3 linked regions of the Drosophila melanogaster genome follow. The protein of the gene in region 2 purifies or fractionates together with the protein of the main gene of each other region. This does not show direct contact. Each region holds a gene or a part of one and is shown on either strand. Other genes may lie near its edges.

Evidence for each region.
Region 1: the proteins of Act57B (region 2) and glob1 purify together in Drosophila melanogaster (affinity purification with western blotting; one study listed by BioGRID). This does not show direct contact.
Region 3: the proteins of Act57B (region 2) and alpha-Spec purify together in Drosophila melanogaster (affinity purification with western blotting, with the first as the bait; one study listed by BioGRID). This does not show direct contact.

The regions. Positions count from the first base shown.
Region 1 is NT_033777.3:15,897,981-15,908,752, forward strand, and holds the start of glob1 (globin 1), read right to left. Parts: upstream 6,664-10,772; 5' UTR 6,522-6,663; intron 4,605-6,521; exon of another isoform or gene 4,463-4,604; intron 4,404-4,462; exon of another isoform or gene 4,222-4,403; intron 3,403-4,221; exon of another isoform or gene 3,030-3,402; intron 36-3,029; 5' UTR 1-35. Other genes in the region: EndoU (endoribonuclease U-specific), read left to right, coding at 10,613-10,739.
Region 2 is NT_033778.4:20,938,982-20,949,918, reverse strand, and holds Act57B (actin 57B), read right to left. Parts: upstream 5,899-10,937; 5' UTR 5,803-5,898; coding exon 5,763-5,802; intron 5,076-5,762; coding exon 3,985-5,075; 3' UTR 3,488-3,984; downstream 1-3,487. UniProt on the Drosophila melanogaster protein: Actins are highly conserved proteins that are involved in various types of cell motility and are ubiquitously expressed in all eukaryotic cells.
Region 3 is NT_037436.4:1,789,515-1,800,548, forward strand, and holds the start of alpha-Spec (alpha spectrin), read right to left. Parts: upstream 5,815-11,034; 5' UTR 5,685-5,814; intron 3,987-5,684; exon of another isoform or gene 3,902-3,986; coding exon of another isoform or gene 179-3,901; exon of another isoform or gene 117-178; intron 1-116. Other genes in the region: dlt (discs lost), read right to left, coding at 179-3,901; Cdc37 (cell division cycle 37), read left to right, coding at 6,186-6,218, 6,279-6,482, 6,664-7,323, 7,388-7,660; CG12020 (uncharacterized protein), read left to right, coding at 7,851-8,835, 8,900-9,015; patj, read left to right, coding at 9,635-11,034. UniProt on the Drosophila melanogaster protein: Spectrin is the major constituent of the cytoskeletal network underlying the erythrocyte plasma membrane. It associates with band 4.1 and actin to form the cytoskeletal superstructure of the erythrocyte plasma membrane.

The sequences.
Region 1 (10,772 bases), on a different chromosome or scaffold from region 2:
TATAAGCGTTCGGCCCTCTCTTAATGGCTTTTAGGCTGAAAGTGAGTGAGGGAGAAAATGGAATTAAGTCCATTTACTTCGGTCTCTTTTTGGCGCTCTAATTGAAATTGACAGTTTTACAATGCAACTCAACGAGCCCGGCACAAGCAAAATCAAAATCAAAACAACAAACAGTGCCTTAGATAAATAAGCGCACAGCACGTGCTAAAAGTCAATGCCTTCGCCGCCAAACAACAGAAGCAAAATAACATCATTATCATCATTGTATCCGAGCTCAAATTAACGTCTGTCAGTTAAGCCGCAGCAAAAAGCCCAGCAAACCTACCTTCCCACACCTCAACCCTCATTCTATACAATTTTCAACATACCCTTGTTTTTAGAGATGGTAACGTGATAATAAAAAGCTGATGATATTAATTATAATTTGTACAAATTTAAATTGATATCTGTATGAAATATGATTAAAACTTAATGTAGAGCTGAGTATTTTCAAGATCTTTTCTATTGGTTTAAAGTCCCTAAAGTTTAGTCCTTTGTCTGCATACCATTATTAAAGTTGCACATGATATGGTGAAATTTCTTTATCTTTTATGTTAATAACTTGTTTCCTTAACCGCATATCTGTTTATATAATAGTTGCCCATCTCCAGTCTGCTTGGCCTGCTCTCGAGTTCATTAGCTGACCCTACCCCCGCCCTCGACCAGCACCGAGTTGACCCCCAATCCACCGAGCTTTGTGGCTGGCTCTCGGCTGCGAAAATTATCATACCCCCTGTGTTCCACGGAGAGCTGAGGAAAATGAGAAAGCTATTGCGAATGGGAGATTGCGGGAGAATTCTCTGGGCGAAAGGCGGAAATGTAAACAGCAAGAGCTCACAGAAATTGCGATATAATATGCAGACCACAATAAAAATGGCGAGACATCAAATCAAATGGAATTCCACAAAAAAATTAAATATTTTTCGAATTGCTAAACGAATTAAGTGAGAGGAAAAAAAATTTCCATGCAAACCGCACATGAAAAATAAATAATTAGAAAAGCACTACAAAATTCTCATGTAAACAACGGAATTTGATGAACAATAAATAAAGTATTTAGAGTTCTTTTCTTGACTTTTCCACTTTATCCGAATGACAAAAACTTTTTACCACAGGGAAAAGCAGCAAAAACAGCAGTCAAGCCAAAGGAAAGTTATGTCTAAAAAGTAAATACAAAATACAAAACTTTATTAAAAATGCACAAAGTGACAGACAGACAAACGGAATAGACATGGTAACAGGGGAAATAGGAAAAGGGAAAGAGAAAAGGAAAATAAAACAGGGAAATCGACTCAAGTGCAGCCGCAGCAGGTGGCCGCCATGTTATTGTTGCTTTTTGCTGGAAAATGTGGGTGCGATGTGGCAGGAGGTAGGTGGGTGGTGGGTGGTGGGTGGTTGGCGGCGCAGGCAGTGCAGATTCCACTATAAAAAATTTGCCATCTCTCAGTAACCTTGTCTACAAGACCCCTTTGGGGAGCAAACCAACACCAACACCAGCACCAACACACTACATATGCCAGGATGTGCGCGTCTGTGTACGTTCTATAATATCCTTCATGCCAAAATGGCCTGTGGCTTTTGCGGTTCAAGTCTGTGCCTGTAAGTGTATAAGTGCTGGCCACTGCTGTGCGAGTGTATGTGTGTGTAGTCGCGCGAGCTTGTGAGTGTGAGTGTCTGCTGCAGTCAAGAGTGAAAAAAGGCAGCAACAAATCAAGCGTTACCTTGTGGTTCAGCACTCGGAGAAAATTTATCCTCCATAAGATTAGTTTTCATTCTCAAAAACATATTCTTTCAATCGTTTTCATGGAAGTTCAAACGTTGATTGGTGATTTAACGGTGATTGGTGTTAAGCCCTTCTTTTAACACTTAGCTTGATCGAATTAAGTAATTAATTTTTCTCTGTGTTATCTGCCATTGAGAGTGCGAGTGTGAGAGTGTTGCCAGTAAGGACATTGAGCGCTTAATTAAATTAAGGCAAGCTTGATGGACAGCTACTAGACAGTCAGCCGTGTGCAGCAGCTCCTGGGGGCGTTGGGCGGTGGGTGGAGGGCGGATCAGGTGGAACAGATGGGGTAGGCGTGGCAGGCAGGCAGGCAGGCTGGCTGGCAGGTCAGGTGTTGGCAAAGTGCCTCCTACAGGAGGACTGTGTTTGTGCGAGTGTACGTGAATATTTGTTTTGTGATGCTGCCACTCAAGTGTCGCTATGGATTTGGTTGCAATTCTGTTCCTGTCTCTTTTTTTCCCCGGCATGTGAATTTATTTTATAGAACTCAAAAACAACATTCTGTCGTTTGGCAAGTGCCAGATGTGAAGTGTTGTGAACTCTCGAAACACGAGCTGGTTTTTTTTTACAATTTTAAAACAATTTCAAAGGACTTTCAAAGTATGGGGCTTGAAGAAAGAATATTTGGATAAATTGGTTTCTGGCAAATATCAGACTCCATAAAATGTTTCTGGGTTTTAATAACCAAAGCCGTGTTCAAATTAATTATTTTTTATGGGTCTTATAAATAAGTAAATCATTTAATTTTAATTTTAAAGACGCATGTATGGGTAAGTACTATGGATAAGAACTGTGTATTTGATAACAATGACGAAGCTTTAGTAATCGGATAATAAAAAGAGGGTAAACAAATGTAAATTACGATGATTGCTACATATGATGCTTTCGCTGATTTAATTAAATGAATTCCCAACTCTTTTGAGCCTCTGAAATTGTCTCTTAAAGCCACAATGCCTGACTTAAACACACACAGCCACTTAAAACACACAGATGCACACTCATGTCCTCATCACGGGCATTAAGGATAATGACTGCCACAACAACAGAAACAACAAATGGTAATCACAAAAAAACAACAATAACAATCTGGTTCTGCCAGAGGCGACACTTGTTTTGCAAGGACACCACAGAAATCCATAAATTCCAAGCCCGCTGCTTTGCGGCTCTTTTATTTCTTATGGCTCTGAAATGCAGGAATTCAACGAACCCGAAAAATCCGAGATTTAAATATCCAATGTAGGAAACACACAGAATGGGCGTTTAATCAGCTGTTGGTTGCCTGCCTGTTGAGCGCCGTCGATGGGGAAGATAGCGCGTATTTACAGTTCCGTTAGTCGTGCGCTCTTATTCACCGAATTCTTTCATAATTCTGCAAGGCTTTCACTATGGTATAAATTTCTCCTACCAACGTATTATTTTCACATATATATTTCCCGGATTTCCCAGTTTTGATTACTACTTTTTTAATTGGCGCACTTGATTGGTTTTTGTGCCGTGGAAAACCAAATACCGGACCGTTCAGTGCGAACTTTCGGGGCTACAAAGAACCGCACACTTTGCGTTCAGGTTGAAAACTGAGCGCGGGCAAATTGTGGGGCCTTTTATGGGAGCGAACTCACCAGATTCGCACTCTCTGCCGGCAAAGATTCGCTAGAGAGAGCCCGCCAAAACCAAAACGCTGTGGAGCAAAAGCTGCCCATGCAGGAGAGTGAGAGTTTGGACAGAGGCGTAGTTCAACGGGGGCTTTGAGGTGTGTCATTTGCCCAAAACAATTGATATTCCGATCAGGCGTAGAGCCCACTTATGGACACTCCCCCGATTTGCTGTCACATTTCATAACAAATTCAAAATGGGACGACACCTGTCGAACCAACACGCCCAAATCAAACATTTTCCAGTGACACCTGTGGACCTTCCGACGTTTTAAAGGAGCGTAGTCAAAGTGCTGGCCCCAAAACAAAGCTATCTCTTAAAAGCTTGGGCTTAGAACAGGAAAAGCTTACTTAACCGTTGGGCAGTGGCTTTCTTCAAATGCGCAATGTAATCTAAGCTTTAGGAGCTATAAACAAATATTTGTTGTCGTGATGTCTAAGCTATCTTCAAATATAATTATGTAATTAATCCAGCAAAACAAATGAAAGCACATTTTGTATTAGAAATGAAAAAATTCAAAGATTTTTAAAACTAGTTAGGTCGACTCTTAATATTTCGATGTTTAAGATTCGCAATATGACAAATCTTTTCAAACACTCCATTCAGTTGTTTTGTTTATTTGTTTATTCTTTACTTCAACAATAATCTTCTATTTGTTCTTATCAATATATCACATGCACAAGTGAAAGATTTAGCCTTATCGTGGCGCTGTACTATTTTTATAAATGTTTATTCACTATCACTACCTTAATAAGCCTCCATCAGTAATTTTCAATAAACCAAGTGGCGGACAAACAAACAAGCACTGCCAATTTATACCCAACAAAATGCGTTGCATTCAAATATCACACCGCACACGGATTGTTTATTTTGCTACTATATGAACGGGAATTGTAAGCAACGTCGATTTACGAATGCAATCACTCTACTATAAATATTTGCATAAATATGGATGGGATAGAACACTATTTTCCAATTCACACTCACAGTTTATATCAAATGCCAGGCAACTGCACACGACGCCGTTAATATTTGAACTGAATAGAATTTCTAGCCCGACTGGCCTTTATAAAAGACTTCCGAGCGGCAACAACAACTGACACAAAATAAACGCAGCAAACGAAGCTACAAAAGTTTCCGAGCTGATAATCTTCGTACACTATCATCCAGAGAGGTCAACTTGGGTGAAAGTATACGTATGGGTCTTTCATTTCGTAAGATTTGGTAAATATTGTCTGAGACTGCTTGTCACAACATTAGAACGAAGCGAATCAATAAAACGCGCGCTCCGAATTTTGAAGCTTCGGAGTTTTAGGAGTCAGGAGATTAAAAGAAGCAGCAAAATCCAGTTTTCGGCTAGACTACAAGACATAATTACTTTAAGTATAAAGAACTAACCTTGATAATCAAATTTACCTATACCTAAGCTTAAAAAAGGCAAACATTGTATTCGAAAATATTAGATGATTGTAACAAAGCAAACAATTCGCTTCACTGTGAAGAATAAATCAAATGCTAATCCAAAACATAATGTATCAAATTACAATATTTGTAAAGCTCTCCTTTAGTACACTAAATTCTTCTACCAGGTGGATCCAATCCAAAAGCAAACTGCAAACAAATAACACCTTTCGTGACGAGCTATTTGTTTTCCCGTGCCTTGAATAATTATTGATCAAGGTTAATTTAAATATAGCATGATGGATATCTTGGTATTAGATTGTGAAAGTTAATGTCGTTTTCGTCATTCCATCTTTGGCGACAATGTATTTAATTTTATTTACGTTTTAAAGACTATTTTCAACTAATTGTAGGAACTGCAGTCCAGACAATATAAGAGTAAAATCTTGTTGATATTAAAAAAAAATCAAGCCCTAAGAAAATTTCGCACTGCAATTATAGGTGTTCAATTATACAATATTTTGTTCACAATTTATTGTCAATTTTTTTTCAAATCACGTCACAGTTTCCTGTTGAAGTTTTTTTTGTTAAACACAGTATGGTTTAAGCCCAATTTGGAAGTAATTATATTACAGTCGAGACTTTAATACAAATGACGCTATATTCGCTGAAACAAACAAATTAGTAAGTGCGTGATTAAATTATTTGTTTAGTACTTCCAGATGAGAGAGGCGTAGTTCAACGGGGGCTTTGAGGTGTGTCATTTGCCCAAAACAATTGATATTCCGATCAGGCGTAGAGCCCACTTATGGACACTCCCCCGATTTGCTGTCACATTTCATAACAAATTCAAAATGGGACGACACCTGTCGAACCAACACGCCCAAATCAAACATTTTCCAGTGACACCTGTGGACCTTCCGACGTTTTAAAGGAGCGTAGTCAAAGTGCTGGCCCCAAAACAAAGCTATCTCTTAAAAGCTTGGGCTTAGAACAGGAAAAGCTTACTTAACCGTTGGGCAGTGGCTTTCTTCAAATGCGCAATGTAATCTAAGCTTTAGGAGCTATAAACAAATATTTGTTGTCGTGATGTCTAAGCTATCTTCAAATATAATTATGTAATTAATCCAGCAAAACAAATGAAAGCACATTTTGTATTAGAAATGAAAAAATTCAAAGATTTTTAAAACTAGTTAGGTCGACTCTTAATATTTCGATGTTTAAGATTCGCAATATGACAAATCTTTTCAAACACTCCATTCAGTTGTTTTGTTTATTTGTTTATTCTTTACTTCAACAATAATCTTCTATTTGTTCTTATCAATATATCACATGCACAAGTGAAAGATTTAGCCTTATCGTGGCGCTGTACTATTTTTATAAATGTTTATTCACTATCACTACCTTAATAAGCCTCCATCAGTAATTTTCAATAAACCAAGTGGCGGACAAACAAACAAGCACTGCCAATTTATACCCAACAAAATGCGTTGCATTCAAATATCACACCGCACACGGATTGTTTATTTTGCTACTATATGAACGGGAATTGTAAGCAACGTCGATTTACGAATGCAATCACTCTACTATAAATATTTGCATAAATATGGATGGGATAGAACACTATTTTCCAATTCACACTCACAGTTTATATCAAATGCCAGGCAACTGCACACGACGCCGTTAATATTTGAACTGAATAGAATTTCTAGCCCGACTGGCCTTTATAAAAGACTTCCGAGCGGCAACAACAACTGACACAAAATAAACGCAGCAAACGAAGCTACAAAAGTTTCCGAGCTGATAATCTTCGTACACTATCATCCAGAGAGGTCAACTTGGGTGAAAGTATACGTATGGGTCTTTCATTTCGTAAGATTTGGTAAATATTGTCTGAGACTGCTTGTCACAACATTAGAACGAAGCGAATCAATAAAACGCGCGCTCCGAATTTTGAAGCTTCGGAGTTTTAGGAGTCAGGAGATTAAAAGAAGCAGCAAAATCCAGTTTTCGGCTAGACTACAAGACATAATTACTTTAAGTATAAAGAACTAACCTTGATAATCAAATTTACCTATACCTAAGCTTAAAAAAGGCAAACATTGTATTCGAAAATATTAGATGATTGTAACAAAGCAAACAATTCGCTTCACTGTGAAGAATAAATCAAATGCTAATCCAAAACATAATGTATCAAATTACAATATTTGTAAAGCTCTCCTTTAGTACACTAAATTCTTCTACCAGGTGGATCCAATCCAAAAGCAAACTGCAAACAAATAACACCTTTCGTGACGAGCTATTTGTTTTCCCGTGCCTTGAATAATTATTGATCAAGGTTAATTTAAATATAGCATGATGGATATCTTGGTATTAGATTGTGAAAGTTAATGTCGTTTTCGTCATTCCATCTTTGGCGACAATGTATTTAATTTTATTTACGTTTTAAAGACTATTTTCAACTAATTGTAGGAACTGCAGTCCAGACAATATAAGAGTAAAATCTTGTTGATATTAAAAAAAAATCAAGCCCTAAGAAAATTTCGCACTGCAATTATAGGTGTTCAATTATACAATATTTTGTTCACAATTTATTGTCAATTTTTTTTCAAATCACGTCACAGTTTCCTGTTGAAGTTTTTTTTGTTAAACACAGTATGGTTTAAGCCCAATTTGGAAGTAATTATATTACAGTCGAGACTTTAATACAAATGACGCTATATTCGCTGAAACAAACAAATTAGTAAGTGCGTGATTAAATTATTTGTTTAGTACTTCCAGATGAGAGATTCAAGACACGATGTTAGTAATTAAAAGAGACTTTGGATGAAATTCCTTAAGTACCAAAAATTAGTAGGCTTGCCACGTGCCATATGTTCCCACAAAAATATGAATTGAATTTTAAATATCTATAGGTACTAGAAGTATTGTGGAAAAGAATAATTGGTTTCATTCATGCACGTTTAAAGACTGATTCAATTGTAAACCTTTTTATAAAATGAATTAAAATATAAATGATTATCCAAGGTAAAACAGAATATTAGTTTTTCAGTTACATTTTATTTATATTCGTTTGGCTTAGCTTTATTTCTTTAGGAAACTAATTGTTTTCCTACTTTGACTGGCCGCATAAATTATACCATATGCTGCACATTGTCATTTATGTCCTCAAACTTGAAATTTGGCATGGGGGCCCAACGAATCCGCTCCTGAGTAAACAAAAGGCTGCTCGCGAGGTGAAAACAAACCACAACAATGATCCCCCAGAGAGCGCCGAAAACGAAAATAATTGGAGAGGGAGAGCGTGTTATCCAATTTTTCGGGGGAACTACTTGTGTGTTCAGCAAGCATATGAGCGGCCAGATCCGCAGTGTGGCAAACCCGCTCAGTATCGTTTCAGCCATAAAGGTAGTTGGTCGGAAAGAGCAGATAAAACTCGATCAACGCGAGAGTTTTGGCTGAAGATAAACGGCGAGCATCGGGAAAGTAAACAGAGGCGCAAAAACAAATGTTTGACTAATCTTAATTGGATAATTATATCACAATGGACGCAGTGCAGCAGCAAACAAACAGCACTAGCAACATCGACAGCGCCAAATGCCAGAAGCTAAAGAGATTTGTGATCGTAGGCTTGCTGATCACCATTGGCATTTTGAGCTGGCACTTCTACGGTGAGTTGTCTCTTTAAGCTCTCTTCCGTAAGCGAACGGACAACGGTTTTTTCTCTTAGAGTACTTCCACAGCAAGCCGCTGCCCAAAACGCCGGATGACGTCTTGACCCTCTCGAAGAATCTGTACGCGGAGGAGACCGAGGTCAGTCCATACCTCTACAAGGTGAATCTCCAGGGGAAGACCACTTCAGGTGCTCATGACGATCGCGCCCCTAGAAAGTAAGTACCTAGTTGCGCCGCCTAATGAATTTTATCATTAAAATATTTAATTTGATGATAAGGCAATTTAATTAAAATAATTATTAATTCATTAAATACTAAAGCTGTCTAATAAACATTATTTCATATTTCTTGAAATTCATTTCGTGAATTCATTTCGTAAGATTTGGTAAATATTGTCTGAGACTGCTTGTCACAACATTAGAACTGAGCTAATCAATAAAACGCGCGCTCCGAATTTTGAAGCTTCGGAGTTTTAGGAGTCAGGAGATTAAAAGAAGCAGCAAAATCCAGTTTTCGGCTAGACTACAAGACATAATTACTTTAAGTATAAAGAACTAACCTTGATAATCAAATTTACCTATACCTAAGCTTAAAAAAGGCAAACATTGTATTCGAAAATATTAGATGATTGTAACAAAGCAAACAATTCGCTTCACTGTGAAGAATAAATCAAATGCTAATCCAAAACATAATGTATCAAATTACAATATTTGTAAAGCTCTCCTTTAGTACACTGAATTCTTCTACCAGGTGGATCCAATCCAAAAGCAAACTGAAAACAAATTACACCTTTCGTGACGAGCTATTTGTTTTCCCGTGCCTTGAATATATTGATATATTGATATATTGATCAAGGTTAATTTAAATATAGCATGATGGATATCTTGGTATTAGATTGTGAAAGTTAATGTGGTTTTCGTCATTCCATCTTTGGCGACAATGTATTTAATTGTATTTACGTTTTAAAGACTATTTTCAACTAATTGTAGGAACTGCAGTCCAGACAATATAAGAGTAAAATCTTGTTGATATTAAAAAAAAATCAAGCCCTAAGAAAATTTCGCACTGCAATTATAGGTGTTCAATTATACAATATTTTGTTCACAATTTATTGTCAATTTTTTTTTCAAATCACGTCACAGTTTCCTGTTGAAGTTTTTTTTGTTAAACACAGTATGGTTTAAGCCCAATTTGGAAGTAATTATATTACAGTCGAGACTTTAATACAAATGACGCTATATTCGCTGAAACAAACAAATTAGTAAGTGCGTGATTAAATTATTTGTTTAGTACTTCCAGATGAGAGATTCAAGACACGATGTTAGTAATTAAAAGAGACTTTGGATGAAATTCCTTAAGTACCAAAAATTAGTAGGCTTGCCACGTGCCATATGTTCCCACAAAAATATGAATTGAATTTTAAATATCTATAGATACTAGAAGTATTGTGGAAAAGAATAATTGGTTTCATTCATGCACGTTTAAAGACTGATTCAATTGTAAACCTTTTTATAAAATGAATTAAAATATAAATGATTATCCAAGGTAAAACAGAATATTAGTTTTTCAGTTACATTTTATTTATATTCGTTTGGCTTAGCTTTATTTCTTTAGGAAACTAATTGTTTTCCTACTTTGACTGGCCGCATAAATTATACCATATGCTGCACATTGTCATTTATGTCCTCAAACTTGAAATTTGGCATGGGGGCCCAACGAATCCGCTCCTGAGTAAACAAAAGGCTGCTCGCGAGGTGAAAACAAACCACAACAATGATCCCCCAGAGAGCGCCGAAAACGAAAATAATTGGAGAGGGAGAGCGTGTTATCCAATTTTTCGGGGGAACTACTTGTGTGTTCAGCAAGCATATGAGCGGCCAGATCCGCAGTGGGGCAAACCCGCTCAGTATCGTTTCAGCCATAAAGGTAGTTGGTCGGAAAGAGCAGATAAAACTCGATCAACGCGAGAGTTTTGGCTGAAGATAAACGGCGAGCATCGGGAAAGTAAACAGAGGCGCAAAAACAAATGTTTGACTAATCTTAATTGGATAATTATATCACAATGGACGCAGTGCAGCAGCAAACAAACAGCACTAGCAACATCGACAGCGCCAAATGCCAGAAGCTAAAGAGATTTGTGATCGTAGGCTTGCTGATCACCATTGGCATTTTGAGCTGGCACTTCTACGGTGAGTTGTCTCTTTAAGCTCTCTTCCGTAAGC
Region 2 (10,937 bases):
AAAAAAAGGCGAGTGGATGGCAAAATGGAAATAAAATTGTGCGACACATCAAACGGAATGGATGACAATTGGAGCTCTGGCTACAGCTCCAGCACAAGCCCACCAGTCATTCAGTCATCAGTGTATTCCATCCGGCATCTTCTGTCTCGTCTCCTGTCTGCCGAAGGAGCCTCTTTCACGCTAAATCCACCGGAAACGGAAACGCGCCGCAAATTGCAAAGTTTGAGCAGCAGCACTCGGCTCTCCTTGCGCGCTCGTGAAAATTAATTTCATCTTCGATTCTAGCATTCTGCGGCGGGAAATTGGCAGCAATTTTCTTTGCACTCTTCGCATTTCCTTGCGATTATAATAAATGCGAATTTCCTCGGCCATTTCCTCAGCATTTGGCACGAAAATAAATATATATATAAAAAAAATGAGGCGTGGCTTGGAGGCGCGTAGGTCCTTTGTTTGAATCGCCGTCCACATTCATGAACTCATATTTCGATGAGCGGAGCCATTTTTTTTTTTTCAGCTTCGTCCTGTCGAGGATTTTGGTTTTATTTTTTTGCCGCTTTCTGCATGAGCAGTTTCAAGGACATGACCGAGAATTCAAGTGCGCGGCACTTGAAATAACAGAGAAATATCTAGGAGAGAAAGGCCACGTCGAACAATAAGGCAGTGTGAAACTGTCATTTGTGCAGTGGAAAGTAGAGTTAAATCAGGCGCATAATTACCAGGACTCACGTGTGAGCATGTGTGTGCATGTGCGTGTGTGTGAGCGGGCTTAGCACATGTGAAAAGGTGAAAGGTCGAGGGGATAAGCAGCGTGAATATGTGTGTGCAATTCGAGGGGTTTTCGAATGCGGCAGCTTATTCAAATTTGCTAAATGCTCGCCTTATTTGTGCTAATTTGTGGGCAATTTTCTAATGGCTACTTTTCACACATAATACGCGCTGCGTGCTAAAGTGTTTCTTAAGCCAAAGATCTCGCTGAGCCAACGCTTCTGAAACGGGCAAAGTACTTGAGATAATACTACTTCGTTTCGTTGCCATTCATTTCGAAAAGGTAATCCTCCTGCACGCCGGTCGTATGCACTTGGGTTTTGGCGGAGGTCAGCAGGATAACCAGCATACCCCAGATGGAACCAGGTCTATTAGAGTCAATTAGCGAGCGATTATATTCACTGGCCGGTCCATCCCCCATTTTCAATCAGCCCTCCTGCATCGCTTTAAAGTCATTGAAAAATTTGCACATAAATTGCGTAAAGTGCACATTTTTTTGTTTTGCGTTTTTTGTTCTGCCCTAACACGTTTACACGGCCTCGTCGAGGTCCTGGCTTCCTCAGCCAAAGGTCCTGTTTCTGTTGCTTTTGCTCTTGCTCTTGGTGTTCCCGTGTTCCCGAGTTCCAATGGGCTGCACCCTTTTGCCTGTTCGTAAACGGCAATCACCCCCCAATAAATGTCCTTGCCCATGTGTGTGTGTGTGCGCGTGTGTGTGTGTGTGTGAATGCATCACCATCACCCCTTTGTGTCTGTGTGTGAGTGGGCTGTGAGCCGGCTTTGCTCCGCGTCTTTATCGTTTATTTTTATTTGGTCAGCAAAAGCGAACATTGTCAGCCCAATTTCACACAAAAAATGCAATCAAATGTGACGCTTTTCATTATCCTCGCGATTTATATATTTTTTCAGTCAGTCAAGCGGGCGAAAAGGGGTTTTGCAAATGGCAGAGGGATTGGCCAAAATTTAAATCAATCAAATGAAATTGACTTGCTTGATTTTAAATCATTTCCGTTGGCCTTTGAGGGCTAAATTAATTGGAATAAAACTAAGAGTTGTGTTCATATTTCTATATTTCTTGGAGAAAGTCTCTCAAATAACTGTTGCATACTTTTAGGTAAGCAGAATACCATATAAATTGTTTAAAAAATGTTTAAATCCAATTGTTTTGCATTTATTTTAAGTACAATTACAAAGTTGTAAATAATATACATTATTGTTGTAACCAAATATTTTTCCATATTTTAATATTTATTTTCTTTCCGTGCACATAGCGAATCGGGATCAGGACTCGCTTTTCAAGAAACGCTTTTCGAGTCTCAGAGCTTCCAACACTTTCCGCTTCGCTGAGCACAAGTTTTGATTGCATTATACGAGTATATGGATTTTTGGTCGCTTTGCAGCTTCATCGATAGTAATTGAAGTGAAAACAATGTGTGTGCTCTGGGGTGTGTGCGATGTCTCCATATATGGTACTCTTAGTATGGATAAGGATTCGAGTGCGATTCCGAATCGGGGGAAATGGAAGCGCCTTGAAGAACTGGATGCCCTCATTGTTGTTGGTTGGCAATCGGAGCAGCTATATATAATTGACCATATGGGTCGTTTTGTGCGGCATACTTCAAGTCGCAATCGTAAATGGGCGTGGAGGTACTTACTTATGTATGTGCCTTACTCGATTCGAAATATTTGCGCTCTTTATTATGAATTTTAAATCGAATTTGTATGGAAATTAAGAACTGAATATTGCATTATGACGACGACGTCGACGATATTGTGTACGTGTTTATTTTTGTTTTTGTGCAAATTGATTAGTGGGTTAAGCCCGTTTAAGTCGAGGGTTGGTAACTTCTCATTCCGGCATTTGTTTCCTGATTTCGGATTTGGGATTTCTGTTTCCCGATTTCTGATTCCCAATCCTGTTTGTTGTTGTGCAGCGCGGCGTAAAGTGATTCGCTTGAGAAAGTGAATTCCGAACGGGCAAGTTGCGCCCATTTTTGCCCATCTCGTCGTGCAACTCATTAGCGGCATCTGTCGCCCCTTTTTGGCCAAGTGCCAGCGATTTGGGCCCATTAATTACCCATTTGTATGTGGCTGCAACTGAAATTGCAACAGGCGACACGACCGCGAATACAAATTTCATTCATAATGCACATCGAGTTCTAATTAAACGGCCCAACGCCATTTTGACTAATTGTCTTGGCAATCTCGGCGAGAACATTTGTCTCTGGCATTGCCACCATACACTATATATGTATATATTCCATCCATTATTCCTCAAAGTGAAATGCATTTCTGGTAATCAGTTTGCCGAGAGCGGCAACAAATTGACATTGGCAATTTGTTTTGGCCGCCGCCTTTGATCATCCATCCGACTTGCGTCATCTCCGATCGTATTTCCTCATGGCATAAACAAACAAAAAATCGCTCGCCTGTCCGCCGCCTCACCCATTTTGGAATGCGTCTAAAAATATTCGAAAATCGTTTCGAAACCAGAAATATTTTGGGAATAGAAAGCTTTACGGTATGGTATTCGGGAAATTTGAAACGCACCGTCGCGTCTGGAGGTGAAAAAAGCTCACACATCACACATAGATCCATAAATGTACATATATATTGTATGTATCTTGAACTACTGATCGATGGAAAGCTTCGGCTAGGATTTGCTTTCCCGGCTAGATGCCCCCCCCCAATTTTTTCCAAAATCTCTATGTTTTTAGAAAAAATTAAATCTAAAAAATCGTTTTTATTTATAAATAATTATAAATTGTTTTAATTAATATTACAATCATGAGATTATTTTACATTTCGTAGTCAATAGACCCCATCCGCTCTATCGGGGAAGTTGTTAGGTTCTGTACAAAATACATGAGGGTGTCGGTTCATTCGTAAAACAATCAAATGGCGATCAACATTTAAGGAAACCGCGAGCGATTAACAAGTGGATGGGGATCGCGGTCCGTGGCATTAGATTGACAATTCATTTTGATTGATGGTGTTGTGTTCAGTCAGTACAAAAGAGTATTCTCGAACCAAGGATGACACGTTGGTAAATAATGACATTCAAAAACAAATGGTTGGATGGTGGTGGTGTTTGTTGTTTTTGCCGGTGGAGCACCAGCCGCCCACACACCCAGAACCACCACAAATAGCAGGACCAGATGAGCAGGAGACAGGTGAGTAGACCGGGTGGTGCTAGTGTTGGTGCTAGGCAACTGCAACTGCTTAGAAGCACTTGCGGTGGACGATGCCAGGGCCGGACTCGTCGTACTCCTCCTTGGAGATCCACATCTGCTGGAAGGTGGACAGAGAGGCCAGGATGGAGCCACCGATCCAGACGGAGTATTTGCGCTCTGGGGGAGCAATGATCTTGATCTTGATGGTGGATGGGGCCAGGGAGGTGATCTCCTTCTGCATACGATCGGCAATACCGGGGTACATGGTGGTGCCACCGGACATGACGATGTTGGCGTACAGGTCCTTACGGATATCCACATCGCACTTCATGATGGAGTTGTAGACGGTCTCGTGGATGCCGCAGGATTCCATTCCCAGGAAGGAAGGCTGGAACAGGGACTCGGGGCAACGGAAACGCTCGTTGCCGATGGTGATCACCTGTCCGTCGGGAAGCTCGTACGACTTCTCCAGGGAGGTGGAGGCGGCGGCGGTGGCCATCTCCTGCTCGAAGTCCAGGGCAACATAGCACAACTTCTCCTTGATGTCACGGACAATTTCACGCTCAGCGGTGGTGGTGAAAGAGTAGCCGCGCTCGGTCAGGATCTTCATCAGGTAGTCGGTCAAATCGCGACCAGCCAGATCCAGACGGAGGATGGCATGGGGCAGAGCATAACCCTCATAGATGGGGACGGTGTGGGAGACACCATCACCGGAGTCCAGAACGATACCGGTGGTACGACCGGAGGCGTACAGGGAGAGCACGGCCTGGATGGCGACGTACATGGCGGGCGAGTTGAAGGTCTCAAACATGATCTGGGTCATCTTCTCGCGGTTAGCCTTGGGGTTCAGGGGGGCCTCAGTCAGCAGGACGGGGTGCTCCTCGGGGGCAACACGCAGCTCGTTGTAGAAGGTGTGGTGCCAGATCTTCTCCATATCATCCCAGTTGGTGATGATACCGTGCTCGATGGGGTATTTCAGGGTGAGGATACCACGCTTGGACTGGGCCTCATCACCGACGTACGAGTCCTTCTGGCCCATACCGACCATCACACCCTGGTGGCGTGGACGACCGACGATGGAGGGGAAGACGGCACGGGGAGCGTCATCACCGGCGAAACCGGCCTTGCACATGCCGGAGCCTGCAGGATAACACAATCGAACAGGGGTCCATTAGTGGGCGCTCGAGTGCTTCATGTGGGGTTTCCCACACTGGGAGTCTAACATTTGCTCTAACGGACAGCGTGAAAAAGTCTGGCGACTAAGTCGAAAAAACTGGAAAAGTTTGGGGCGGAGAGAAAAATTCTCTCATGAAAATATGTGATCTGTCTTCTTCTCTCGTATAGAGAAATATCTGAAGATATATGATTTCTGAAATATTCCTCTTCTCTAATATCATGATCTCTTGAAAAGCTTTCAAGCATCAAAACTTATGAAAGTGATTCGGGCACAAAAAATCTTTATAAAACTTATGCAAATCGGTTTTGATTCTGTGCAAAATATAATATTTTAGCTTTTCTTTATCTGAATATTTATGATTCTTTGACTTGAATTGAAAATATTGCTCAATAACTAATATTTAAAATATATATTTCTCGAAATCATCCAAGGCATTGGAATATTTTTTTTGTTATATTCAAATTTCTAATTGCTTGTGTCCCGAAGGATGCGTGAGTTAATCACAACTCGAAAATCGTTCACTTTGCGATCACTTTAGCACTAGATGCGGGAATATCCTTTCGCTGTTGGGTCCTTTGTCTATTTCTCTTTCTTTTTTTTCTCTTTTAGCAAAAGCCAAGACGATAATCCGTTCGATGGGGAATACGCACCATTGTCAACGACCAGAGCAGCAACTTCATCGTCACACATTTTGTTTTAGTTTTGTTTTTTTTACGGCACCACGGGTGAATTAAATCAAGAGTTACGGTGTGTACGGCTTGGAACACAACTGACTGACTAAAGTATCGCCGCGTTGGTACTCGGATTTTATACCGCCGCCGAAATGCCATCTCGTCCAAGAAGCGCCGTCGCCATGCCCCCCGCCGCCACCGCCCCCGCCACGCCCCCATACCAATGGCAAAAGAAATACTCAAACGAATACACACAGCGAGGAAATATGCTCATGGATGCGATAATGCTGCCCACCGGCCGATCCGCCTAAAAATAGATCCTTCAGCATAGGGGGCTCTTTGGAAAACATAAGGCGAACGAGCGAGAGGCACAATATGGTATGGCATGCTATACGTATAGGAATACCATATAGCATATAGCGCAGTATAGTTCGGCGTGATCGAGCGTGGAGATCGTATCGGTTGGGATCGGGCACGATCGGCTGCCTGCTCACGATCGTTTGCAGTCTCAAAAAGTGCCGTATAAGGCAAGGAGGCGCCTCCAGCACACTCACACTCGTTTGCTCATTCTCAGCGAGTCGCTCTCTCTCTCTCTCCTGTTCTCCCACTATATCGGCCATATCGGCTATATCTGCTATATCTGCTATATTTGCTATATGTTTCGGTTCGGTTTGGATACTTTTTGGGTCGGTTCGTTACGGTGGGGGATTGGGTGGGTGGATATATTCGCTTTGTTGCTGGCTTCTATTTTCTCGTACGGCTCGTTGTTTTCATAACTTTCGTGTTTTTCTCATGTCGTAATAAATTCATTTTCTATTTTCGATATGTACACACACACAAACGCACAGCCTTAGTCAAATCGCATCTCTATCATTTCCCAGCCTTTGCACCTTCATGCCTTTCGTTTCTAATTTTGGTCATATTTCTCATTGCGCTCTCGCCCAAGATCCACGCCCACGCCCATGTCTACGCCCCTCGTGCAATGAGCATTATATTCAACTAATTGTTTATTTACAAATCGGGCTGTAAGATGTTAGTAAGGGGGATGGGAGGGGGGAGCTTAACCGTTACATGCCGGCTTTGCAGGGTACCCATTTAAATTGGGTTCGGTGCAATCTATTTTTGGGCTGCAACTAAGTGGGGCATGTTTACGTTTTATGGCACAATCCGGTGAGGCCAATCGTTGCTGTGGATCCTCCACACTCTCCTCCTCCACACATTTTACCCAATTCTCGCTGTATTCAAATACTTGGATACAGATGTATGTATTTGTGGCGCGGTTCGGTTGCTATACTACATGGAAAAACAAATGGATGTCGCTAAATTAGATTTGGGGCCCCATGCATATTCATTCTATAAAACGTGTATTTTCGCACGTACATATATGTATCTTTGGATACATAACACCAATAAGGTTGAGTTCCAGCTTCCCGAGGAAGAATGACTAATCCCTTAACCTAAATTGCAAAAATTAATCTATCAAAAGAATCGGTCTAGTTCGAATAGGATTATTTTCGAACTAATTTTAGACGGTTCTAAATATAGATCAAATGACAACAAGCAAGGTATTCCTCCAGAGTTGCCAGAGAGACAAGTAGGGCATATTTTTATTTTATGATTGTCGCCTTACTGATTACTATAATACTTATTGCAAATTTATAATAATTGCTTTTTAATAGGTATAATAATAATAATAATAATATAATATAATAACTTTAATAATAAGTATAAAAATAATAGTTTTTAGTGATATGCCTACAACAATTGTATATTTTCTATATTTTTCAATAATATTTTTTTTCTAATTTTCTAATTATTTTTTATTCCGGAAAATACATTTAAGTATTAAATATTTATTAGGTTTAAATAAGATGAGCATAAATTATTTAAGGTATGATTCTACTTAACAGCATGTTTTCATTTTGAATCTTCAAAATGTTTAAAATCCCACGTTTTTTCAAAAAACTTCTTTAATTAAAATCTAAAGGACACGAGTGAGCTTATCATTTAAAATGTTTTTTTTTTTAATAAAAATTAGCAATCGGCATAATTTATTTCTTTTATACCTTCACATTATCCTCAGCGGCTGTGAAATAATTCCCTGTTTGTTTTTTGGACTGCCTTAAAAAATGAGGGTAAGCACGAAAAGTTTCTCATCAAAAGAGACTCGTATCAGAGGTAAAATAACCAGGGCCTTTTTTTATTTTAATCGCGTGAAACAGCTCGACTGTTAATGCAGAGTTAATTAAAAGTATGTGAAAAGTAAATCACTATGTGGCAATTTAACCCAGCAACCACCGCACCAACCCACCGAAGGACCCTCAAGGCATCGGCAGTCAAATGGCAAAGCCAAAGTTGGTCGTTGGCCGTTGGAGTAACGAAAATAAAGCCAATTGCAAATAGATTATATAAATGGCTAAATCAAAATTTAATAAAGCCAAGCGAGATGTGCAGTCGCTGGAGCGTTGGATAAATAGGAGGGCCGGATGTCACCAGTAGTGGCTGGTCCAAGGAATTTTAATAATGATCACGTATCCTGGCAGCGATTTCACCTTGTTGTTTTAGCACACGTGCGCCAATTGCCGACACTAAAGGGATTCATTTGTGAATTATCCAATGCCGAAAATGTAGCACCCACACCAGGACATCCACAAACCCCACACCCATCCTAAACAAACAGCGGGCTGAGGTCGAAGGCTGGGAATCAACGAAAACAAATTGCAATTGAGCCGGCAAAGGATGGGTGACAAAAAGTGGCCACCACGACGCAGAATGAGGATTGGGAACTCGGCTTGGGACTGGGACTGGGATTGGGATTCCGATTCGGATTCGGGAGGGATACAGTCGCGATGCGCATTTGACAGCTCAAGCGGAATGCACACAGACGATGACGACGAGGATGAAAGGGGGTTTCGCCCAAAGCCAAGGTAACAAGGGGCCACATGGCTGCGGAGCTACGAAGGATAAAGGATATACTGCTGGTTGACTGTGCGGCTGGGAAAAGTCGCCCGAGGACCAGGGACCACCCTCATTTTGGCTGGCTGACTAAAAATGCTTGGGATTCTCATGAATTTCGATGGAATTTTTATTAAGTTGCCAATTTGGCAATTGACAGAGTTGATCAAAGTGGCTGGGCAATTGCGGGAGTGGCTGAATATATCCCTTGATTTCTGTGTGAATTAATTTCAAATTAGTTTGCCACATGCATTTCGGCATTTATTGGATTTTCGCAGGGGCACACAAACACACACAGAGAGAGGGGTTCGGATCGTGAATGGGAAAGGGTTAGCCACAATCCCTTAATAGGCCTAATCAACACAATCGATGATGGCCGGTGATTTGTTAAGCGCATTAGCAGCTCCAGTATTGACCACTGTCCAGCTGCCGCAAACTCATCTGCCACTTGGCTGTTCCTCCAACCCAACTCCAATTCATTTCAATGGTTTGAAATCGGGTCAGGCGAACGCATATAAACACACCATTTCGATTTAGATTGTGATTTCTGGAATGCATTAATTTGTGTTAATGGGGAAAAGCAAAGATTTCCCATTTGTTAGGGTTCGGAGTGCAGGCGAGGTTTATTTTTAGGTGCCCACAATGGATACACACACACACATGGGGAGCTGGAGATTGCCTGGAGATGGAATTTTCCATGGGCAACATATCGGGCAAATCCTATCGTATTTCAGCGCAAACATTTTCACCATACCAACCCAGCCCCATAAACTTAAAATTTAGTCATTCACGTGCTGCCTGCTGCAATCATCATCGGCGGTCAGACAAGTGGCAATTCGTATATGGCAGACCCAAATATTCTGTGCGAAATCCGCATATATCTCTGTCCACTGGCCAGACCGAAATACTTTCGGATATGCGCTCCATCGAGTATTGTTTCTCGATTCTATAGGTCGGTTGTTATATATCTGCCTAGTCTCTGTCTGCCGCACTGTACGCCTCCAGGGCGAACAGAAATATTCAAGAACGGAGCGCGGTGGCCAAGATAAGGCGGATTCGACGGCAATCCGCATATATGTTCGCAGTTTCGAAAGTCTAAAGTAGATTGGGGTGGACCAAAACAAGCTGTATACCAAAAGTTTTGATAATGAGACGATTATCAATGGAAGATATCATGGTACAAATGTCGGTCTATAAAGCGTATTATGATATTAAATTATAAGTAATGTACTTATGAAACTGAAGTATGGAACTTAATTATAAGGATTGCTTAAGGATATTTGCCAGTTGACTTTGTTGTTTCTGTTGCCTTGGGTTCACCCATATAGACTGGCTATGTGAGCAAGGAGAGCAACAACAACCAAAAGTGACGCGGACATTTATGGTGTGCTCTAGAAGTGAGAAACTGATTTCTGTTCGGTTTGCAGCACACCAACACAGGGAAATCGGCACACCCGCACACACACTGGCACACACTTCGTGCAACAACAACAATCATAATCGGGAGAAAATGTTGTTCAATAATTTCGGTTCTGGCCACTGGTTTCATTTCGTTTGGACGGACTTATTTTTAACGTTGTTATTTTATATATACACGAAATAGAAGCAGCAAACGCATAGGAAAAACAAAAATATTCCTATATATTGAACAAAAAAAAAAAAAAATGTAGAAAACTAGAGGATGGAAAAGAGGAACAAGCAAAATAGCACCAACGCTTTCATCATCGACCAAACGGGCGCGATCAGCTGTATGTCGTCAATATGCGATATATCTCAAGGCGGATCGAACATACATATGTATGTATTTTTGTGTGAGATGTCTTCTTTTAATTAAAGTACAATAGATATACAGAGAAATTGGAAGATGGATCTATGTGCTGCCCCATGGTCATTCAGCTTCCGCTCGGACCACTCATGGCCATGGGGAAAGCATCTTCATTAGCAGCCCCACCATCATGATGATCTAGCTAGCTATGTATATGTATGTGGTATCCACTCGGACTTGGACTCGGTGGTTTTTGACAAATCCTATTTATAGAGCTGCCCCCTACGTTTTCGACTGCCGTGGAACACTTGTCGCTGGTCTGCTCCAAAAACAGCAGCGAACCCTCGGAAATCATGTAGGAATTTTAATTCGACTGCCTCAGTCGTCAGTGTATATATATTCAAGTTCAATTCGCTTGGACTTTGTCTTGCACT
Region 3 (11,034 bases), on a different chromosome or scaffold from region 2:
CAAACTAAAAGCGCGAATGTGACGCATTCTCGCGCTGATTAGGTTCCATCAGCTAACGCTATCTTATCGGGTACATAGCGTGGACCCCGTTTCCATTCCATTTCCAGCAGACACATACAAAAAGGGAACACTTTATTCGAAACATAAACGTTAAATGACATAACCAACAGTTTTAAACTTAAAAGTTATCCAGATCCCGCGATAAGTCGGCCAGCATCTCCATGAAGAGATGCGACTTGGCCTCGTCTTCGGGACTATCGCCAGAGGCGTAATGGGCTTCGGAATCCTTTCCGGACAGAGAGAGTTGCTGCAGAAGTTCGGAAAGCATGCACCACACTTTCGGCGACCAGTTCTCGGCAAAGAGCGGCATGAAGAGTTCGTTGAGATGATCGGCCCGTATAGCTCCAGACTGTAGCATGGATCTAAGGATCGTCTCCAGCATCCGAAAGCTGTCCGCACTGTTTGCCATCTCCTGCACAAAACTAATGCTGATCAAGCCGTCAAAGATTCCGGGTGAAGCTTTACTGTCCATAAGCTGCTGTGATCGCCACACCGAACAGCTGGCTGAAATTATATCCTTGTCGAGGAAATTCGGTTTTCTGGTAATGAGCAACTGAAGCAAATGAACTAATCCAGACCCAATGAGGTGATAGAAAACAGTGGGCATTTTAGGCAACAGGACCGCCTTTTGGGCTTTTCGAAGCAGCTCGGCCAGATCTTCTTGACTGCCCACATATTCTGGCCGCAAGCTGAGGCAGTGCAACCACTGCTGGAGCTGATAGAGAAACTCCGACAGGCTGAATCCAATATCCGGACTGAGCTGGAGCTCACTGGAGCCGCCGCCACCTGCAGCTGCTGCATCTGCCTTGTTCCTATTGCAGTTGCACACTTTGGTGGCTAACTCCTGAAGGTCGCCATGATAAAATGTGGACTGAAGCACGCTCGACTGGAGCCACTGTTGCAGCTGAGTCTGGGCTTGCACCCGGATTAAATGAGCATATGTAGACCGCAATACCGCATTGGTGCTGGAGGGCAGAAGGCCATCCAAGGAGTGCTCTATGCGCCTGTCCAGCATTTGGTGCACATGCTCCTTCCAACGCTGACACGCATTCTCCCTGGCATCTTGAAAGATCTCATGCAGCTCCTGAAACACCTCCTCGAGCATCGTGGATTTAATTTCGTTGACTTTGGCATCCGCGGAGGCCTTCGACGGGAGCAGAATCTCCTGCTGGGCGTCCTTAACGACACACTTAAAAGTGCGCTCCGTGACGAACTCGATCAACCTCCTGGTGGACGCGTTTTGGGATTGGAGATAGGCATCGACCAATTTGCGCTGCTGCTGCTCCGCGGGACTCAGTTCGCTTGCCACTATCGCGTCCTTGGAAATGGAACTGCTGTTCTGCTGCAACTGCTCCAACCGAGTGGTTATGTACCGGAACCGCCCACTTTTCGCTTGCCTAGAGGGCGTGATGCTCACCCGGAATTCCTGCAGGAAAGGGCAAGCCACGGGCAGAAGTTCGTCCAACAAGGGGGCGTGCGATTTATCGTGACACGAGAGGTCCTTTAGGCAGATATCCACAATTGCCGAAATGCTTCCGACTCCGGCTTCCTGTGCCCTGTAATTGTAGTAGCCATTAACCAACTGCGGCTGTGCATCCAAAAGCCATCCAATGCAGCTCCTGGCTATGAACACAGCTGCTGGTTGCAATTTTGCCATACGTATGTCGGCATACAATCCGTACAGCAGCTCCAAAGTGGCCACTGCGTCCGGAAGGTGCAGGCTGACCAAGTCGAGCATCGCCAGGTATTGAACTAACCACGGAAGCGTAATCAGCAGCTTGCCCTGGCGCATGGAACGTTCGAGTATCTCGCGGAGATTGAAGTCCGGACGAAAATGGTTACGAAGCTGCAACTGCTGTGGACAAAGATATGGCGGCGTTGGGTTTCCATGTTGCGTGGTGCCGCTAAAGGGCATCACAGTTACGTAGCCCAAGAACTTGGCCAGGATAAGCATGTTAGCCATGGTCTGGACGCGAACAATGTATGGTCCCTGCTGAGCGGACTGCTCCTCGACAGCCACATCGTCAGTTAGCTGGAGCAGATCAAAGGTGGAGTCGTTGTTACGCATTAGTTGCACAAAGAGCTCCAGCTTCAGGTGCACCAGAAATGCTACCGATGAGCATACGGCGATAAAGTCGCGGAAGAAGGCCTGAGAGCGAGGAAACTGACCTTCCACACTGGAACTGGATGTCACCAAGCGCTGTGCCAGCTTATTGTGCCTGAGGGGATCCAGCTTTAAGCCCAGTTCTTCGGGAGATTCGGTGGTCTCGGTAGCGGAGATCAATAATTGGTTGACAAATAATTTTGCCAGGTGCGTCATGTTAACTGGGTGCTCCGATTTCTTATAGATATCCATAATACGCGGCCCCAGTTCGCTGGGAAAGTTGAAACCCCGATTCAGATGGCTCACCTCCCAACGCTTAAGGGCTTTGTAAAAGAGGTCCCTTTGGGACTTGAAGGCCCCGAACTCATTCTGCGAAGGAAAGTTATCCCGCGAGTCGTTCTCCACGTGATAGTATACATTCTGCTGGGAGGACGAAGAGGTGTCCATAGCGAAGGGTGTGGTCGAATCCTGCCTCCGCTGACAGTGAGTTTCCAATTCTTGGACAACTCCTTGCGGCAGCAGGCTCAATCTCTCGTTTTGTAGCAAGACACTCAAAGTCCGTTTGTCAAGCTGCAGAAGTAACTTTTTCTGATTCTCCAGCAGTTTTGCGGCAAAGTATACACAACTTTTGTGCTGGGTGAGTCCCTCCAAAGCACTGGGTACATACGATTTGACGGGTGATTGGCCAAAATCTCGCACATTTAGCAGATGGACCACAAAACTAAGTTCACGTAGTACGTTGGGCACCAAATTGAGGTCCATTAACAGGCTGTAAATGGTTGATAGGAGCTGCAAGTGATTGGCATTAGCCACACCCTCCAAGCTAATGGCTTCCTCAGGGAAAACCTCATCTTCGGGTGTCCTCTCCTGTTGACTAACATTCACAGGCGCTTCGCTTTTGATTTCCTGCTTTTTGAGCAACAGGAACTTGCGGGCCTCCATTTCCAGGGCTGCTTCTTGGCTTCTATCGAAGATTTCGCTGCTCTGCGAGATTCGCCAAAAGTTATTTTCATTGCTAAAGGAACTGGTGTCTCCGAAAGAGGAGCTGGCCGAAACATTCTTGCTAATGGTCATGGGTAAGACACGTCGCCGCGGCTTGGATTGTGGCGTGGCTCCAGCTCCAGTTCCTGAACCCAATGATGCATGTTGATTTTGCTGCTGTTTTTGGGGCGTGATCTTCTTCTTAGATCGCTGATGGCTCTGGATAGGTGTATTGACCAGAAAGTTGCCCAAGCAGATGCTGTGCCCTCCTCCTGCTCCCCCACCGCCGCTTCTGTTAGGCGTGCTGCAAAACTGGGCGCCACTTCCTGGCGTTGATCTTCTGCCCTGCGGCTGCTGGGGAGCCGGAGTAGTATTCGAAGTGGAGGACATACTGCAGCTGCTCCGGCTAAGGATCGAGGACTCATTGAGCTGCTGCTGTTCCTCCTCCTTGACCACATCGGCGACCGGCGGCTTGAGCTGATGGATGGGGGTCAAGGGAAACACGGGTGTCTCCGAGTTTTGCGAATAGTAGTACCTCTTTGTGCTTTGACGCAGTGCACCTAAAAAGTAGGTGGCGAAGTCCTCTAGTGTGCAGTTACTCTGGTTATCACCCTTGCCAACCTTTTTAAAATAGGCGACGAACTTTTGCTCCAGCTGGTGGTGCGGCACCTTCTCCAGTTGCGCAAGCAGCTGCAGCAGATGCCTCTCTTCCGGCTTCGTCATTTCTGTATCTGACGCTTTGAGCTCTGCAGTCATGTTCCGGTGATCTATTTTCTGTGCCTTAGCTCGAGCTATTTTCAACCTTTGGCCCTCCTCCAATCCCTCTCTCCCTTTTGTTTCCCTGCAACGGAAGAGGAGAGAAGGGAAATGTTGGCTCGGCTTTTGTGGGTTTCGTTTTCTAAGTTATTTTTAGAGTTGTTTGGATGGGTTGAAGTTGCAGGATTTTCTTTTTTTTCTGTATAAACAATATGTTTTCACACAATAAACTAAATCAACGTAAACGACACGTAAAATGCTACGAGTTGTGATGACTTCATCACCTGTACTAAAAGTTGTAATAAGGTTATAGTTAGGCGGGAAATTATGAGGAATATATTTGTAGGTCAGGTTTGGAAAAACGCACATGTATGCTAAACAAATTTGTAAAGGTATTAACCTTAACAATAAAAGAATAGTAGGTTTCTAAAAGTATCTAAATATTGCATCAACAATTTTTTGTTGTTAAAGTATAAATATTTTCTATGAATTCTTATAAGATATCATTTATTTTAATTTCCAAACTTAGTTGATAGCCCATAAAATCACATTTCTAATAGTTTCCAATTTTTAGTGCTAAAAAAAAAAAAAAAACAACTCAGATAAGAAAAGCAGAGAAATATCTGAAATTCTCAGCTACACTACACAGAAGGTAAAATAGTTAAGATTGGCCAAGAATGATTAATAGAGAAAAGCCAAGGAGTGAATTTTTGTCAATAGAGTAACATGAAATACAATTAGCACTAACGATAAGGAAATCCGTGGAATGTCCGGATTTTAATACTTAATACTTCAAAATCGCCCCTTTAGAAGGGGTCAGCAGAGCAAGCAATGACATCATTTAGGGGAGAGGGTGGGTCAGCATGCAGAGAAACAAACAAACAACACTCTTTGCCACAGGAAATTGAAATAAATCAGAGGGAGATGGCAACAGCCCAGGGCTTGGCAGCCATACAATGTTGGAGCTCACATACAAACACACAGGCAGGCCAATTTAACTGTTTATCGCGGTGGCAAACAAAAACAACATCAGAAACGGCAATTGCGAGAGATCGCACCTCAAAAAGAGAGCGAATAGAAAGAGACGGAGAGAGCGAAACATTAATTGAAGTGTCTATCAGAAAATAGCAGAGGATGACGTAATGCGTACGCTTTGGAATTATGAGCAATCAATGAAGAGGCACAAAAAATCAACTGGTACGCAAGACTACTACGAACACGGAATCGCCTGGCAAGCAAACAAAAATATCCTATGCAAACACAGGCCTTCAAGAAAGTCAAGGACACTTGCCCACCCAAAACTTTGGCATATGTAAGGCAAGCACTTTGCTTTTTTTTTATTCGTACTTAAATATCTTGGAAACACAAACAAGCAAAGAGAGGGAGAGTGTGCTCTCCCGCTTTCTCTCATCTGAAGTTGCCGCACCACCACCACCACCCGATGACGTACACACACACAGCGTTCTCTACTCCTGCGTAACCGCACACACACATGCACAACAGGAGCACCAGATACTTTTTCTTAAGTTGCAATTGGAGTCAAGAATTTTGAAAGAAATTCAAAATTTCTATTACTAATCAAGCAGTGACATTGCACAGCATAGCTTTTCAGTTATGGCCAAGACTTTTCTCTCACTTTAGCCCCGTTAATTGGATTTTTGTGTTGCCTTCGAGGGTGTGGCGTTGACCCGAAAAATTTTCACTTTGCACGCACACCGAATTTCAATTGCATTTTGAACCCAACTAACAGTGAGCTACGGACGAAAACTATGTAGAAACTTACACTTTGATGGCAATCTATTTGTTCACAGTTACTTTGTTAATTTAACTATTGATTTGCAGTAGTTATTCGTAATTTTCACGGAGCGCCTCTATTTCACGGGACCGCAGTTTTTTTCAATATGTCGGCCGATTGGCGCAGAACATTGACATCAATATCGCGATTTCTATCGATGTCAATCGATTATAAACATAGTTCTCTTTCTGGTCGCTTTGGCGCCTTAGTCATCTCATTATTTTTCTAGTAGATGTAGATGAGTAGTAGTAGATGATGTAAATAAATTAAAAACGACAGGGTATTTCAATTCAATCTGGTGCACTCATGCATGACTACTATTTCCTAGCGCGGCCCCAGAGTAAGCGGGGCTTATTATGGTATTATTCCGCAATAGCCCTGCGGTCACACTAATTTCCAGAGCAATCCAAAAAAAGGAAGCAGCCGAAAAAGAACAAAAACCTGCAGCATTTACATTCAAATATAAATCCGAAGCAAAGAAACAGCAAAATGGTGGACTACAGCAAGTGGAAGAACATCGAGGTGAGCCCACTGCTGGGTGCCAACCCAAAAAGTCCTCCTAATCGGCACACTACCTTTTAGATTTCGGATGATGAGGACGACACTCACCCAAACATAGACACGCCTTCTCTGTTCCGCTGGCGGCACCAGGCGCGCGTGGAGCGCATGGCGGAGATGGACCACGAGAAGGACGAGCTTAAGAAAAAGCGCCAGAGCTACCAGGCGCGCCTCATGGACGTCAAGGAGCGGATCTCAAAGAAGGATGGCGACGAGGAGGCCCTGAAGGTGGGTCATTGCACCGAATGCACTGCGCACTTGTTGCTTAGGCTAATGCCTGGTCTGGGAGTTCCCTATGTTCTCAATCCATCTAATTTATTCTTATTGTCAAGCTTATGATTGACTATCATCCTAAGTGGCCATCCATCTTTCATCGCAATGCTTAATCCCTAATTTGTATCGCCTACAGAAAGAGCTCGAAAAGATCGAGGCCGAGGGCAAAGAGCTGGACCGCATCGAGAGCGAGATGATTAAGAAGGAAAAGAAAACACCCTGGAACGTGGACACCATCAGCAAGCCCGGCTTTGAGAAGACCGTAATCAACAAGAAGGCCGGCCGCAAGCCGGATGAGAATCTGTCCGAGGAAGAGCGAGAGCAGCGCATGAAGCAATTCGTCAAGGAGAACGAGAAGCTCTGCCAGCAGTATGGCATGCTGCGCAAGTACGACGATTCGAAGCGGTTTCTGCAGGAGCATCTTCACTTGGTGGGCGAGGAGACGGCCAACTACCTAGTCATTTGGTCCATCAACCTGGAAATGGAGGAGAAGCACGAGCTGATGGCCCACGTGGCGCATCAGTGCATTTGCATGCAGTACATTCTAGAGTTGGCCAAACAGCTGGACGTGGATCCTCGCGCCTGTGTCAGCTCCTTCTTCTCAAAGATCCAGCACTGTCATCCCGAGTACCGCGCGCAGTTCGACAGCGAGATCGAAGGTTTCAAAGGACGTATCCAGAAGCGTGCGCAGGAGAAGATCCAGGAGGCGATAGCCCAGGCCGAAGAGGAGGAGCGCAAGGAGCGCCTCGGACCTGGTGGTCTGGACCCAGCCGATGTCTTTGAATCCCTGCCCGATGTACGTTCTAGTGATTCACTGTATGGGAATTACTTGACTAACTTTTCATGTATTTGCTCCGCAGGAACTAAAGGCCTGTTTCGAGTCCCGCGACGTAGAGCTGCTGCAGAAGACCATTGCGGCCATGCCCGTGGACGTCGCCAAGCTGCACATGAAGCGTTGTGTGGACTCTGGTCTCTGGGTGCCCAATGCCGCTGACTTGGAGGGTGACAAGAAGGAGGAAGATGACTCGGATGACGTCGCCGGTGGCGAGGAGAAGACCGACGATGCCAAATCAGAGAGTGCAGCCAAGGAGGAGCCCATCTACACTGGCGTCAGCACCGAGGACGTTGACTGATCGCCGCCACGTTTCCATCTACACCATAGCTCTAATCTTAATGTATTTGTCCACAAGCATATTTCATCCATAGCCAGATCCTGCGTCAGTTGAGTTATTGTATATAATTTGAATAAATTCTCAGTCACACGTCAAACATTCTGTGAACACTTCTGCCAGTTGTTATACGCTTCGACTCCGAATAGAAACAATGAACCGGCCGGAGCTGGACTACTACGCGGTGCTGGATCAGCCCAGAGGCGCCACCAAGGAGCAGATTACTCTGGCCTACCGCCGCCTGGCCATTCGGCTTTGCCCACATCGCGACAAGAAGGACGAGCAGGACTTTGTGCCGCTGGCCCAGGAGGGTCGTCTCACGCACCTCTCACCCATGGGCGAGCCCAGGCAGTGGGCCTACGTCAACATGGCCTTCGATGTGCTGGGCAACGATCTGTACCGGGCCATATACGATCGCTTTGGCGAGGCGGGTTTGTTCGAGGGCGTCATGCTGCCGAACGGATACTTTCCGCCCTATCAGTACGACGGCGACCACATGAAGGTCTACGAGCGGGTCTTCGGTAGCTACTCGCCGTATGCCAACGTGATCGATGCGATCTCCAATCCACCGAGCTTGTACGCTACGCGCCAGCATGGCATTGGCGTGCGTTCCAAGGACGCCAGTACGGAGAGGATCATCGAGCTGTCGCTGGAGGAAGTACGCACTGGCTGCGTCAAGCTGATGAACGTGTGGCGCCAGGAGATCGTGGACGCCAAGGAGTCGCGGCTGGAGAAGCGCAAGCACACCTTAAAGCTGAACATTGCCCCGGGAACTACGGCCGGAACTCGCTTCTGCTTCAAGGAGGAGGGCGATCGCTATCCGGCCACCATTCCGGGTGATATTATTTTCATTGCCGCCGACAAGCCGCATCCGGACTTTGAGAGGAGAAACCAACACGACCTGGTCTACAGGCAGTCTATTGGCCTGTGCCAGGCCTTCACCGGCTTCACGTTCTTCATTTGCACGCTGGACCGGCGCCAGTTGAAGGTGGTCATTACGGACGTAGTGCAGCCGGGATACACCAAAGTGGTTCCCCTCGAGGGACTCCCCAAGTGCCGCAATTTGGATGCAGTTACGGCCATCAAGGAGGCCAACAAGAAGGTGGAGCAGTTCGGGGATCTCATTATAGAATTTGATTGTGGGTTTTCCTTTTCTGTTGGAGGTTTCAATAGTTTCTGATAGTTTCTCTGTTTCTTCTGCAGATATCTTTCCCAAGTACTTGACTCCACATATGAAGCATATCACTCGCGAATTCTTCCGCGAATTCCGCAAGCTCGAAATAGAATTGGAGGAGGAGGAGGAACGTAACATGGTTTGATGGCAGACACCTTATTGTTTTTCCGTATTTGGAACACAGATATTTGTGCGTACAGAGAAATTAAATTCAAAATTTGCGTTTAAAAGGATAGATGTTGTTGGGTTATTTCGTATAGCCATATTACATACGAGCACATGCAGACTATATTCAAAAATCTTAGATTTAATTAAATTAGCAGATGTAACGGTCGAATTTGAATTGATTTTGAAAAGGTGGCAACTGTTCCGATTATGTCGATTGCTTATCGATGCACAACGCAGCCGCTCGGCAACCCTGTCCATCAGCTGTTTGTGAAAAGAAAATGCATTTGGCATTCCATTTCAGAGATAATTAAAAATCAATTACAGCAGCAGCAGCAGAGCAAGTGGCCACCGAAAAGAGTGCATAGGAGAGGGTAAACAACTCGCTGCATCCAAACGGCACAGTAACTGATCCGAAGCTGTCCCACTTAGAGCCCAAATCGAATTACCCGTTTTGCAGTTTAGGACAAAGTGTGCCAACGCCACAACGCCCCCACCCAGAAGTCCATAGAAACGCCAGCGGAAGTGGGATAGAGACGGGGACCACGCTCCACTGACCGCACCGCGCACCGCTCGCTGACCACGCCCACTGACGCAAGATGCACCTCAGCGCGGATATTTCCAGCGCCCTTCAGCAGATCGAGGCAGTGAAGAAGGGCATCGATGAGTCCGACGACCCCAAGCTGCAAATGCAGACGGCCGAGAGCCTTAGCACCATTCTGGGCATTCTGCAGGATCCCGTTTTCCGCACCATCGTCCACGTGCAGGACTCGTTGTCCGAGCTGAACGCCCAGCTGGCTCAGCATCCGTCCATGTTGCCCAACGACTTCGACATCGATGTGGCCGGCAACCTTGTACTCAGTCTGAATGGTGGCGAGGTGATGTACGACTTTGACGAACAGCGCTCTTCCTCGCACTCCCATTCGGCTCCGGGCAGTCCAGATAAGTCCGGAGGCGTCGGCGAGGAGCCGCGCCCGCAGAGCCAGAACTCCAAAGGAGCCGGAGTGGCGGATCTCTACGCCACGGACTACGCTCAGATCCAGGCCATAGAGCTGGTCAACGACGGCACGGGTCTCGGATTCGGTATTATTGGAGCTCGCAACTCGGGAGTGATTGTAAAAACCATCCTGCCGGGTGGCGTGGCCGATAAGGACGGACGCTTGCGCTCGGGCGACCACATCCTCCAGATTGGAGACGTCAACCTGCACGAAATGGTATCCGAACAGGTGGCTGCCGTGCTGAGACAGTCTGGAACCCACGTCCGCCTAGTGGTTGCCCGTCCCGTTGAGCAGAGCGTGCCTACGCCCCAGTACGCCCTGGAACCGGGCACTGCTGTGGTGCCCACGCGCGTCCTCGTCGATCCTGCCGAGCTGGAGCGGTACCTCATATCTACCGGCTATCCGGAAATCTTTGGCGAGAGCTCCACGGCCTCCACTCCGCAGACCACCACGGAAGACGATCGTTTCGTTTATCGCGGCGAGACATCAATGCTTATTGATCCAAACATCGACCTAGAGGAATTGCTTGCCCTTCCTGAAACGGAGAAGCTTCAGGTGGAGCTGAAGAAGGATGCCAACGGCCTGGGCATCACAATTGCCGGCTATGTGTGTGAGAAAGAAGAGCTGTCTGGCATTTTCGTAAAGAGCGTGTCGCCCGGTTCAGCAGCGGACCTGAGTGGTCGCATCCGGGTCAACGATCGCATCATTGAAGTTGACGGCCAGTCGCTACAAGGCTACTCCAACCACCAGGCCGTAGAGCTGCTTAAGAAGTCTGGTCAGGTGGTGAACCTGCGCTTGGAACGCTACCTGAGGGGCCCCAAATTCGAGCAGCTGCAGCAGGCTATCGCTGCGAATGACAAGCTTCCATCCAGTGCACCTGGAACGCCTTCAAGGGCTCCCATGCCCACGCCCGTGGCCACAACGTCCTCCGCCACAACTACACCATCACGCAGCATCACTCGCGAGTTGGAAGAGGAAGCCTTACCAGCGCCAGAAGCATT